2 linked regions of the Arabidopsis thaliana genome follow. The protein of the gene in region 2 interacts with the protein of the main gene of each other region in a biochemical or structural test. Each region holds a gene or a part of one and is shown on either strand. Other genes may lie near its edges.

What was found. The genes of interacting proteins can lie anywhere in the genome.
Region 1: of the proteins of FTA (region 2) and RAC3, one has a biochemical effect on the other in vitro, tested with the Arabidopsis thaliana proteins (one study listed by BioGRID).

Annotation. Positions count from the first base shown.
Region 1 is NC_003075.7:16,670,211-16,675,326, forward strand, and holds RAC3 (RAC-like 3), read left to right. Parts: upstream 1-1,981; 5' UTR 1,982-2,033; exon of another isoform or gene 2,034-2,210; intron 2,211-2,573; exon of another isoform or gene 2,574-2,621; 5' UTR 2,622-2,644; intron 2,645-2,708; exon of another isoform or gene 2,709-2,755; 5' UTR 2,756-2,965; coding exon 2,966-3,064; intron 3,065-3,368; coding exon 3,369-3,456; intron 3,457-3,540; coding exon 3,541-3,650; intron 3,651-3,752; coding exon 3,753-3,816; coding exon of another isoform or gene 3,817-3,896; exon of another isoform or gene 3,897-3,914; coding exon 3,915-3,979; intron 3,980-4,060; coding exon 4,061-4,126; intron 4,127-4,225; coding exon 4,226-4,330; 3' UTR 4,331-4,579; downstream 4,580-5,116. Other genes in the region: BGAL11 (beta-galactosidase 11), read right to left, coding at 1-129, 212-317, 410-504, 586-729, 821-913, 1,003-1,069, 1,155-1,267, 1,366-1,461 and 1 more. UniProt on the Arabidopsis thaliana protein: Inactive GDP-bound Rho GTPases reside in the cytosol, are found in a complex with Rho GDP-dissociation inhibitors (Rho GDIs), and are released from the GDI protein in order to translocate to membranes upon activation.
Region 2 is NC_003074.8:21,942,186-21,946,507, reverse strand, and holds FTA (farnesyltransferase A), read right to left. Parts: upstream 2,339-4,322; 5' UTR 2,300-2,338; coding exon 2,075-2,299; intron 1,939-2,074; coding exon 1,829-1,938; intron 1,559-1,828; coding exon 1,438-1,558; intron 1,353-1,437; coding exon 1,257-1,352; intron 1,156-1,256; coding exon 727-1,155; 3' UTR 501-726; downstream 1-500. Other genes in the region: AT3G59390 (glycosyltransferase family protein), read right to left, coding at 101-177, 263-348; AT3G59370 (Vacuolar calcium-binding protein-like protein), read left to right, coding at 3,976-3,990, 4,176-4,322. UniProt on the Arabidopsis thaliana protein: Essential subunit of both the farnesyltransferase and the geranylgeranyltransferase complex.

The DNA.
Region 1 (5,116 bases), on a different chromosome or scaffold from region 2:
GTGAAGATGCTTAAGATGACCATACTTAGGCTCTTTCTCTAAACCATATTCATCAAGAGGTGCATCATCGTAGTATCTAGTGGTCACATAATGTGCAGAGGTTCTTCCAAAGTTAGTCCCTCCGTGGTACTACAAGATTAAAGAACCATTTTGAGAATTTTGACAATCATTTTTGCATATATGGTTAACTCGAATGGATCATAATTTTTACCATGTAGTAGTTGACATGGGTTCCGTTCTTGGAGAAGAATCGAGCAACTGAATACGCGATATCTTCTACTGATCTTTGAGTTGGCGGATCACCAAACACGCGGAACCTATTGAAGAAATTGGCAAGATATTCAACACTTATATGAATGAACCTAAGGTTTTTACATGTTTAATTCAAGAGTAAGAAAAACAAACTCACTGAGTAGTCCAATTCTCAGTCCATAAAGATGGTTTGTTTTCTCTGTTTGGACCGGGGAAAGTATCACCGCAATGTCTTCCATTACAAGCATTGATCTGTTTCCACAGTGTTTTCAAATATTTTAAAACTTTCTTCCTCATTCGGATAAAACACAATCATGTAAAAATGAACTTTACCATAGGATCAGGAGCGTCGTTCTGCTTGCACATAACCCATGGGATCCCGAGTTTCATTGAGTCCACCAAATTAGATGCCCATTTAATGTAGTTTAACCCGTCTTGTTTATATGCACGTTGAACCGCGCTATATTCGTTTTCTATCTGCAATTCATATTCATTCCAAAACTCATCATTTTATAACATTTTTCAAATCATATATAAATATATAGGTTTCTCTTTTCTTTGTTGTCACCTGTCCTAATATAATGGGGCCTCCTTGTGACGCAAACAATCTTTCCTCCTTCATTTTGTCGAGTATCATCCGTACATACCTTTCTGTATGCTCCTGCAATATTTTTATGGTCATATCTTGTAATATATCTAATTGTAACAAAACACACATTGACATATATATAGTAATTCTATGTATAATACCTTGAATTGTTTATTGTCTGTACGGAAGAAAATTCCAGGAACTTCTCTAAGCCAATAAGGAAGTCCTCTGATCATCACAAAGAGATCATATAAAATGTTAAAATGAAGATCTTGAGAACGCCGAAAAAGAAGAAGAAGCAATGCATTATTACCCATGAGTCCATTCAGCTTGGATGAACGGTCCAAGCCTTAAGGTCACATACATTCCATTCTTTTGAATCAACTTTATGAACTTCACCAAATCAGCTCGTCCCGAAAAGTTGAACTGATGAACGCAACACAAAATACATTATGAATCCTAAAGATTCATGCATGCGTGTTTTATATGTTCTATATATAGATCAGTTTTTGGTTATGAATTACCTTTCCTTGTTGAGGCTCATGTACATTCCAGAAAACGTATGTCTGAATCGTGTTCAAACCGCCTTGCTTGGCTCTCTTGATGATACTTGGCCACATCTAAACCAAACCCAAATGACACAATAATCTCAATATACAAAAAAAAAAAAAAAACGTTTTAGAAAAACAGAGATTATGTGATTCAATAAATACTTCCGGAGTGCTTCTCGGGTAATGAATAGAGCCAGAATAAAGAAGCTCTCTTTTGCCATCGATGATCAAAGAGGTTCCATCATATGTCACCTCCTTATTACTCTTCTTCTTCTTCTTGGCGTCCTTCTTGGCCGCGAAGGAGGAAGAAGACGAGAGGAGAACGACAAGAACAGCTGTTAAAAGCCATCGATCAAGAGAATGTTTTCTCATTGAACTCTCTTCTTTTTCTTTTTTGAATTAATTTTTGGTGTCGTACGTAGAACAAGAAGCTAAGTTCTCTTGGAACCTCGTCCTTGTCGGAGGAATAAAAAACAAGGAGAGCTCAAATAACAAGCTTTCAGAAAAGAGGATGATATAAGAGAATGTTTCGCACTCAGGTTTTCAGGTTTCCGGAGAAATTTACGCGTCTGAAATAGAATCCACCGTTGTAACTTTGAAACTCTCTTCATTTTTCCTTTTCGATTTTTTTTTTTTAATTTGTTTTTGCTATTTTTAAATGTTGGTTTCACCCTATTCTTCGCCTATTATGTTGGACATAACATAACAAATTAGTGAAATTACCATTCGTTTTTTTTGGGTCCCCATAACAGATTCTTTAACGGTCAATAAGTGTTTTTAAAATTAACGGTCAATAACTAGCTAGACAGATTCAAAAGGTAAGCCTTTATACCGTGATTGGTTATAAAAATATTAAATATTGACCTTAAGTTCACGTTTTTTTTAGTGTCTCAACATTTATTTCTTAGAGAAGTTGTATGTACATTTTTAATGTTTACTTCAACATACCGGGACAAAAATATTATCATTTAACATGTAACAGAAGAATATGTATCCAAAGGAGGCTGATCAATAAAAATTAACACTCCAATCATATTGCATTGTAAAACCAGCTATATTTTTTATTGATATTTAAACCATAGTTGTATAATCCTAATGACACATCGGAAAAATCCTCTAAACCAGTCAAAATTTAGCTAAATTTTTTATTGATATTTAAAGATCAATCTAAATATGTATAGATTTAGGCATTTAGTATATGGGCTGCATAGTATTAGATGAAAACGAAGTTTAAAAAAAAAAAAAAAAAAAAGTACATAGAAATTATTATTATAATTTTCATCCCATAAATTTTTGTAGGGTCTTATGTTGGGAAACGCACTATCTAAGAAGAAATGCTATTTTATAAAATTTTAGTAAAAAGAAGAAAAAAAAGGAAGAAGAAGACCAAGAAATTGAGGTGCATGTGAGGATGAGTAGTAAAAATTAGGAAGACTCTAGTCTGGGAGAGACTTTCAGCAGCTATTTCTTTGTCTTCTTTCTCTTTAAAGAACCTCACTCTCTCTCTCTTTAGTCAAAAATCCCCAATTCGTGAACAAATTAGGGTTTTTGAAGTTTGAAGAAGGAGAGAAAGATGAGTGCTTCAAGGTTTATCAAGTGTGTCACTGTCGGCGACGGTGCTGTTGGAAAGACTTGTCTTCTCATCTCCTACACTAGCAACACTTTCCCCACGGTTAGCTTTAAAGTTCTCTTCTTTTACTTTGATTTCGTGAAATTTTAGCTTGGTGAAGTTGGTTTTGTTGTTGAAGCTTATGAGTTGGATTTAGTCACAAGTATTTGTTAGGTTTTCTTAAAGTCTTCTTCTTTCTGCTACCTTAGTGAATGTACTGATGTGATCTTTAGGATTTGAGAGACTCAGAGATTCATGTACCGTAGCAATGTTGTTGATCTGTTTAATGATCTTAGAAAGAGTGTTAGGTAACTTTCTGTAAGGAGATTTTGTAGCTGATGTTTTAGTGGAATTTTCTATGTGACAGGATTATGTGCCAACTGTGTTCGATAATTTCAGTGCCAATGTGATTGTTGATGGCAACACTATCAACTTGGGATTGTGGGATACTGCAGGCAAGTTGTTACCTTGGATTTTTTTGTCTTTTGAATTTCCTCCTCTTCCAGAGAGTCATTTGTGTTTTTGACTTGGTGAAACAGGGCAAGAGGACTACAATAGACTAAGACCTTTGAGCTATCGCGGTGCAGATGTCTTCTTACTTGCATTCTCACTTGTCAGCAAAGCTAGCTATGAAAATGTTTCTAAAAAGGTTTGATCTGTGGTCTTCTCCTGAAACTTCTTTCCTGTTTTATTCAGTTTACATTCAGTGATTCTGATAGAATACATTTGGTATCTTGCTTTTGATTCTTAGTGGGTTCCTGAACTGAGACATTATGCTCCTGGTGTTCCCATCATCCTCGTTGGAACAAAGCTTGGTTGGTTTTTTCTTAGCTCAACTCTTAATCGCCTGATTATCGGGGGTTTTCTGTTTTGGGGAACTCTTCTGATATTTTGATGACTGAGTCTCGTACAGATCTTCGAGATGATAAGCAATTCTTTGCCGAGCACCCTGGTGCTGTGCCTATCTCTACCGCTCAGGTACCTTTCTCATTATCTTTCTAAACTGAATCCTAGGTGTTAATATTCTGCATGTTTCATATTTTGATGGTATCAAAACAGGGTGAAGAACTAAAGAAGCTGATTGGGGCGCCTGCTTATATCGAATGCAGTGCAAAAACTCAACAGGTATTAACCTGAGAGTCAATATCTTTATCTAATCTTTACCTGTCTAAAACCGCCAATTGAATCTGCTGATGATTCCTATATCTGTTATCTGTTCAACAGAATGTGAAAGCAGTGTTTGATGCGGCTATCAAGGTCGTTCTCCAGCCACCAAAAAACAAGAAGAAGAAGAAGAGAAAATCTCAGAAAGGTTGTTCTATACTCTGATTCAACAAGAAGAAAGGAATCAACAGGAGAATTAGAGCTATAAGTATTTGTTTTCTCCTTTTTCATAACTTGTTTACCCAAGGAATCAAAAATCTGTTGTTTGTAGTCTGAAAATGACAAAAGTTGAAGAACTAGTAACAAGTATTTGTATTCTTGTTTGCATTTTGATCTGTAAATATACCACGAATCCTTGATTTCTCTGTTTCCTAGATTCACACCAATTGTCTTAAGGATTATGTTCCAAACCTAAAGACAATGAGAGCTTACACGCGCGAACCAATGAGAATGAGAGAGCACTTGTCTTTCTTGGACAATAGTATCTAAACCAGCTTATTTGAAACCTTCTGAATGAGCCAGAGTGTCTTCCATACATATCAATTCCACATAGACCTAACCTGATCTTTAGACTATAATCTTCAATGATTTCAGAACCTCAAAACTTTTGATTTTACATTTTTAATCAAATTTATTTGATATTCATTTTGCTTATTGACTAGACGTTTTCCCCTTGGAGATAATAGAATGATTGATTTTAACTCTCACCGGAAAAGACAAAAAAAAGGAAAAATAAATCATTGATTAAATAAAATTTATGGTGAATAAGCTTGGCTTCTCTTTACCAAACATATATGTTTGTTGATCAATCTCTTTCTTTGCGTTATCTGCCCCTTGATTTAGACCCACGTATTATTCGATTCCTAAACTAATTGAAATGATTAGATATGTGTCATGACGTTTAGTGAACTAATATTCACCTAATATGTCTTTCAATCACTTAAGAATTTG
Region 2 (4,322 bases):
AAGTTGCAACAACAAACCATTCATGGATCACCAAATCTAAGTCGAAAGAGATTCAAAATGTTCAAAAAGGTGAATCTTTCCAAGAGTGGAAATCGCTAACCTTCATCATCGGAGATCAAGTATCTTCCTTGGACAGTTGTTCTGCAACTCCGCTCTTCCAAAAATCCGATATCCTTCCTGCAAATTCATTCGAAAATCTCAAGGAAATGAAACTAAGCGGGACAATTCATAGAAGCAATGGTTGTTACCCAAAATTAATCACCTAATTGCAGAAACTCTCAACGGAAATAAGAAACCCATGATAAGTAGAAGAACGAGGAACAGCAGACTAAACCCAGATTTGGACATAATTCTTGTCGGAGAAAGAACCAATCTTTCGACCAAATCACGCTTCCGACTTCGACCACTTCAGAAACTTTTTTTTTAATCTTATGAATTAGTATAGTTTTGTCGTTAAAATTGAATTGGGGAAATCCGCGAGCCAAACCAAAACCCGGTTTCGGTTTTGATCTTCCGGTTATCGAGAGAGCAATGCGTTTAGTCAAAGTGTGTGATGCAAAATCATTCTTGAGAAAGCTTCTCTGAATATCACAAGGCGAAGGAAACTGAGAAATCAAGATTGTTTTGATACATGTTAACATGAACATGTGATTCATAAATAAGCAGTACATACGTAAAAACTAATAATCAAGTCTTTTTCAAGTGTGATTTTGGGGCGTCACATATTCAAATTGCTGCCACTGTAATCTTGCTCTTCCTCCATGCCCAATAGTTAGCTCTTACAGGATCTACACGACCAAGAATAGTACACACCAAATTGGCCAAGTTAGTCTCTGGTTCTTCATTAGCTAGAGCTCTCACTGAGTCTTTATGCTCGTTGGTTGGTCTCAGTCCATCACATAGAAGATCCAAAAGGGTGCTCAGAGCGAATCCATGGAAGCAATCTGTGCGGGATAGAACATTCAAACAGACTGAGGAAACACTTGGATCACTAATCCAGGATTCTTTGTCGTCTTTGTAAAGAGCTTTTAGGTATCGCCATGAGCTCTCGTTTGCAGGATTGGTTAAAATGGCTTTGATTGTGTAGCTTACTTCAGATTCTCTCATGGCTTCTAGGCCTCCCAACAAAGGAGATTGGGTGATGACATAATACCTCTGTCAGATTAAGGGAATGAGATTATACAAATAGGTGACAGAATCGGCAATTGATAGATTAGAGATACAGAATTTCGTATGTGTATCAACGATCAAGTTACCTGATTCCAGGCGGAATTGTTAAAGACGTCAGCTTCAAGGAGCTCGTGACAGTAATCGAGCTCATCTTCCCATCCTCCTAATGCCCGTAGTGTCCACTGCAGATTGTTTCCATATTATCAAACAAAAAGATATGCAATGATACCCCAAGTGAATGCTTTAACAAGGTTTGAGATCGCAAACCTGCCTATGTGACCAAGCATGATAATGTTTGGCATCAAGTGAAAGTACTCTACGGGTAAATTCAAGTTCTCTCCCTGCAACATCAGGACCCAGTTTCTCTGCAACCCATCGCCGATGATGCCTAGAGAAAAGGAAAACATAGAGCAGAAGCATGGACCATCAAACTCAAAACAAACAACCAAGGGTTTTAACGTTGTATAATCAGCAGATATGAGACACTATGAACTTAACAATGTGTACAAGAACAAACTTTCATCTATGGAGAAGTAGAATATACATTTATTGATTCAAAATTATTCATCAGACAATTTTCAAAAGTATAACTCACTCATAGACTTTCATGATCAAAAGCACATAGATCAAACAAGGTGTGAAAAGGTATGAACTTTACCACAGTTGGTAGTTCTTAGAGTTATCCTCAGCAATGCGTTCGATGAACTCGAGTTCTTCAAACAAGTCGTGATTAAGGGCCTCGAGTACTAGGCGCCTGAAATGCCACACCTTCAAAGGTAAACAAAAATATCGGTAAGACTAAAAATTGAAGCAACAAGGACCAATAAAAGACTAAAATCCATCAAATTTCAAAACCATAAGAGTTCAGATAGTTGTTGATTATATGAATTATAAGATTGATTACTGTGTAGTTGCCGGAGTTTAAGAGGAGGGTTTCTTCCGTGAGTCGTAGTGCGCGAGGAGATCGCTCGTCGGAAAAGTAAATCGCACGGAAGTAATCCATAGTCTCGCGGAACTCTTCCTTGTAGGCAATTGGCACCACTGGATTCGGACCATCGTCCTGAGTCAATGGGACCACGTCTGACCACTCCAATCGTTGGCTCAGTGGCACGGTCTCGTCGAAATTCATGTTCCCCGACTCCGATCCAAAGTCGAAAACCGAAGACTCCATGAAAAGTTGAAAACTAATTAGGGGAGGGGTAATGGGCTTTTAAGCCCAAACCACAATTCTACTATGATATCCTTTTTTGGCCCATTTTTAAAAATAACCACTTTCTTAACCAAAATGACTAAATTAATCATCATCAAATCTAATGAGAACATGTAGTTAGAAACCAAAACTTACCCACCTAAATTTTAAGTGCCAAAATTTTATTTTCTCTGTTTTTTCCCGCCAAAAAATTGCATTTAAAGTCTTTCTAATTTTGTTTAGAACCCTTAAAAAACCATTGTAAATCCTTTAAAAATTCTTAGAAAATCCTAGTAAAGTTTTTTAAAGCTTTGTAAAATTGTTAAAAACTCTTGTAAACCATTTTAAAACTTATTAAAATCCTTATAAAGTTTTTAAATATACATGTAAATACTTTAAAATCCTTTTTAAAACATTTTTTCAATATTTTAGAATCCTTATAAATCATTTAAAACCATTGTAAAATATATTTTAAGGGTTTAAAAGGCTTTAAATAATATATACAACAAGGATAATTTTAAGAGTTTAAAAAAAAAAAAAAAAATTTTTTGAGAGTTTTGAAAGCATTTACAAAAGTTTTCAAATGACTTTAAAAGGAATTATAAAAGTTTTAAAATCCTTTAAAATCATTGTAAATCCTTTTAAAACTCTTAAAAAAAGGCTTGTAAATATTTTTTAAATCCTTGTACTTAAAGCATTGTATAACAGCATAGAGGCCTTACTATTCACCATTACATCAAGAAGAAGCCCGTAATGGTGAAGAAGAGGTGACAGCTGCTATTATTGTCAATGGTTTGAAAGATGAACGAACTCTTTCATTAACCAAGGAAATGTTTAGGAGTTAAGATCATGAATCAACATTTTGGTGTTCTAGTTTTAGCTTCAGATATCGTATTGATTAATCCTTGATTAATCAGCACCCTCAGCTTTAGCAACACCTTTGTCGATCTTTCGATCCTTTCTCTCCCGATTGTACTGCTTGCAACCAACAATATTCAACAACCAAAAGTATATGCATATGCATACTTGACAGGAGGTAAATGACTCTTATTGCTTAATCATGGTCCCAACTCAACACATGATTAATAAGACCTAAACAATCGATTAATGAAGATTAAGTAATGATTTTTCACAAGAGCTGAGGAATAACAAAAACAATATTTTATTTTGTACTTTTTAAAAATATGAAAAAATTCCTAAAATAAAATTTACAGTATGTATATAACTTTACAACTTATTTTAAAGTAAAAATTCGTAAAACTATATTTTTTTTTAAGTCATAGCTTTATTTTTTAAAAAATAAAAATCACAGTATAAGACTTTACAGCTTATATAAAGTAACAGCTACCCTCTAAAGCCCTCTCCAGTCACCCCATACTATGTGGGCATGAGGTGTAAAATAGTACAATTGCTTTTATATATAAGCAAAAAAAAGGTTCGTTCATGTGCAATAATCATCATCATGGTTCTTTCAAAAAACTAATAATTTTATCTTAATAGATATTTAGTTTGAAAAAACATTATTGTAAACGGTTTGCTTCTACTATAAATACCTCTCATCTTGATCAAATCTCTTCATACACCAAAGCATCACATACACTATATTTTCCTTCGAAATGGCCACCGTTGAGGTATATATTCTCTTTATTTTTATTTTGTCAAACTATAAACCTGTATCTATGGTTCATATTCGTTGTTAATATATATATATATATATATCATGTATCTAGAAATCTATGTCTATCAAGTGATATGGACTATTCGCCGTTTAAACGGCATGCATTTTTTCGTTTAATAAGTGTGTTTTCGCTTACAGGTTGAACACGTGACTTCAGTAGCAGTAGAGATCGTTGAGACGGAGGTGAATCAACACCCGGAAGAAGTGTTTGTGGAAGATGCAGAGAAGACAAATGAGGATGAAGAAGAGAAGGCAGCAGTGATCACTGAAACTCCAACAGTTGTG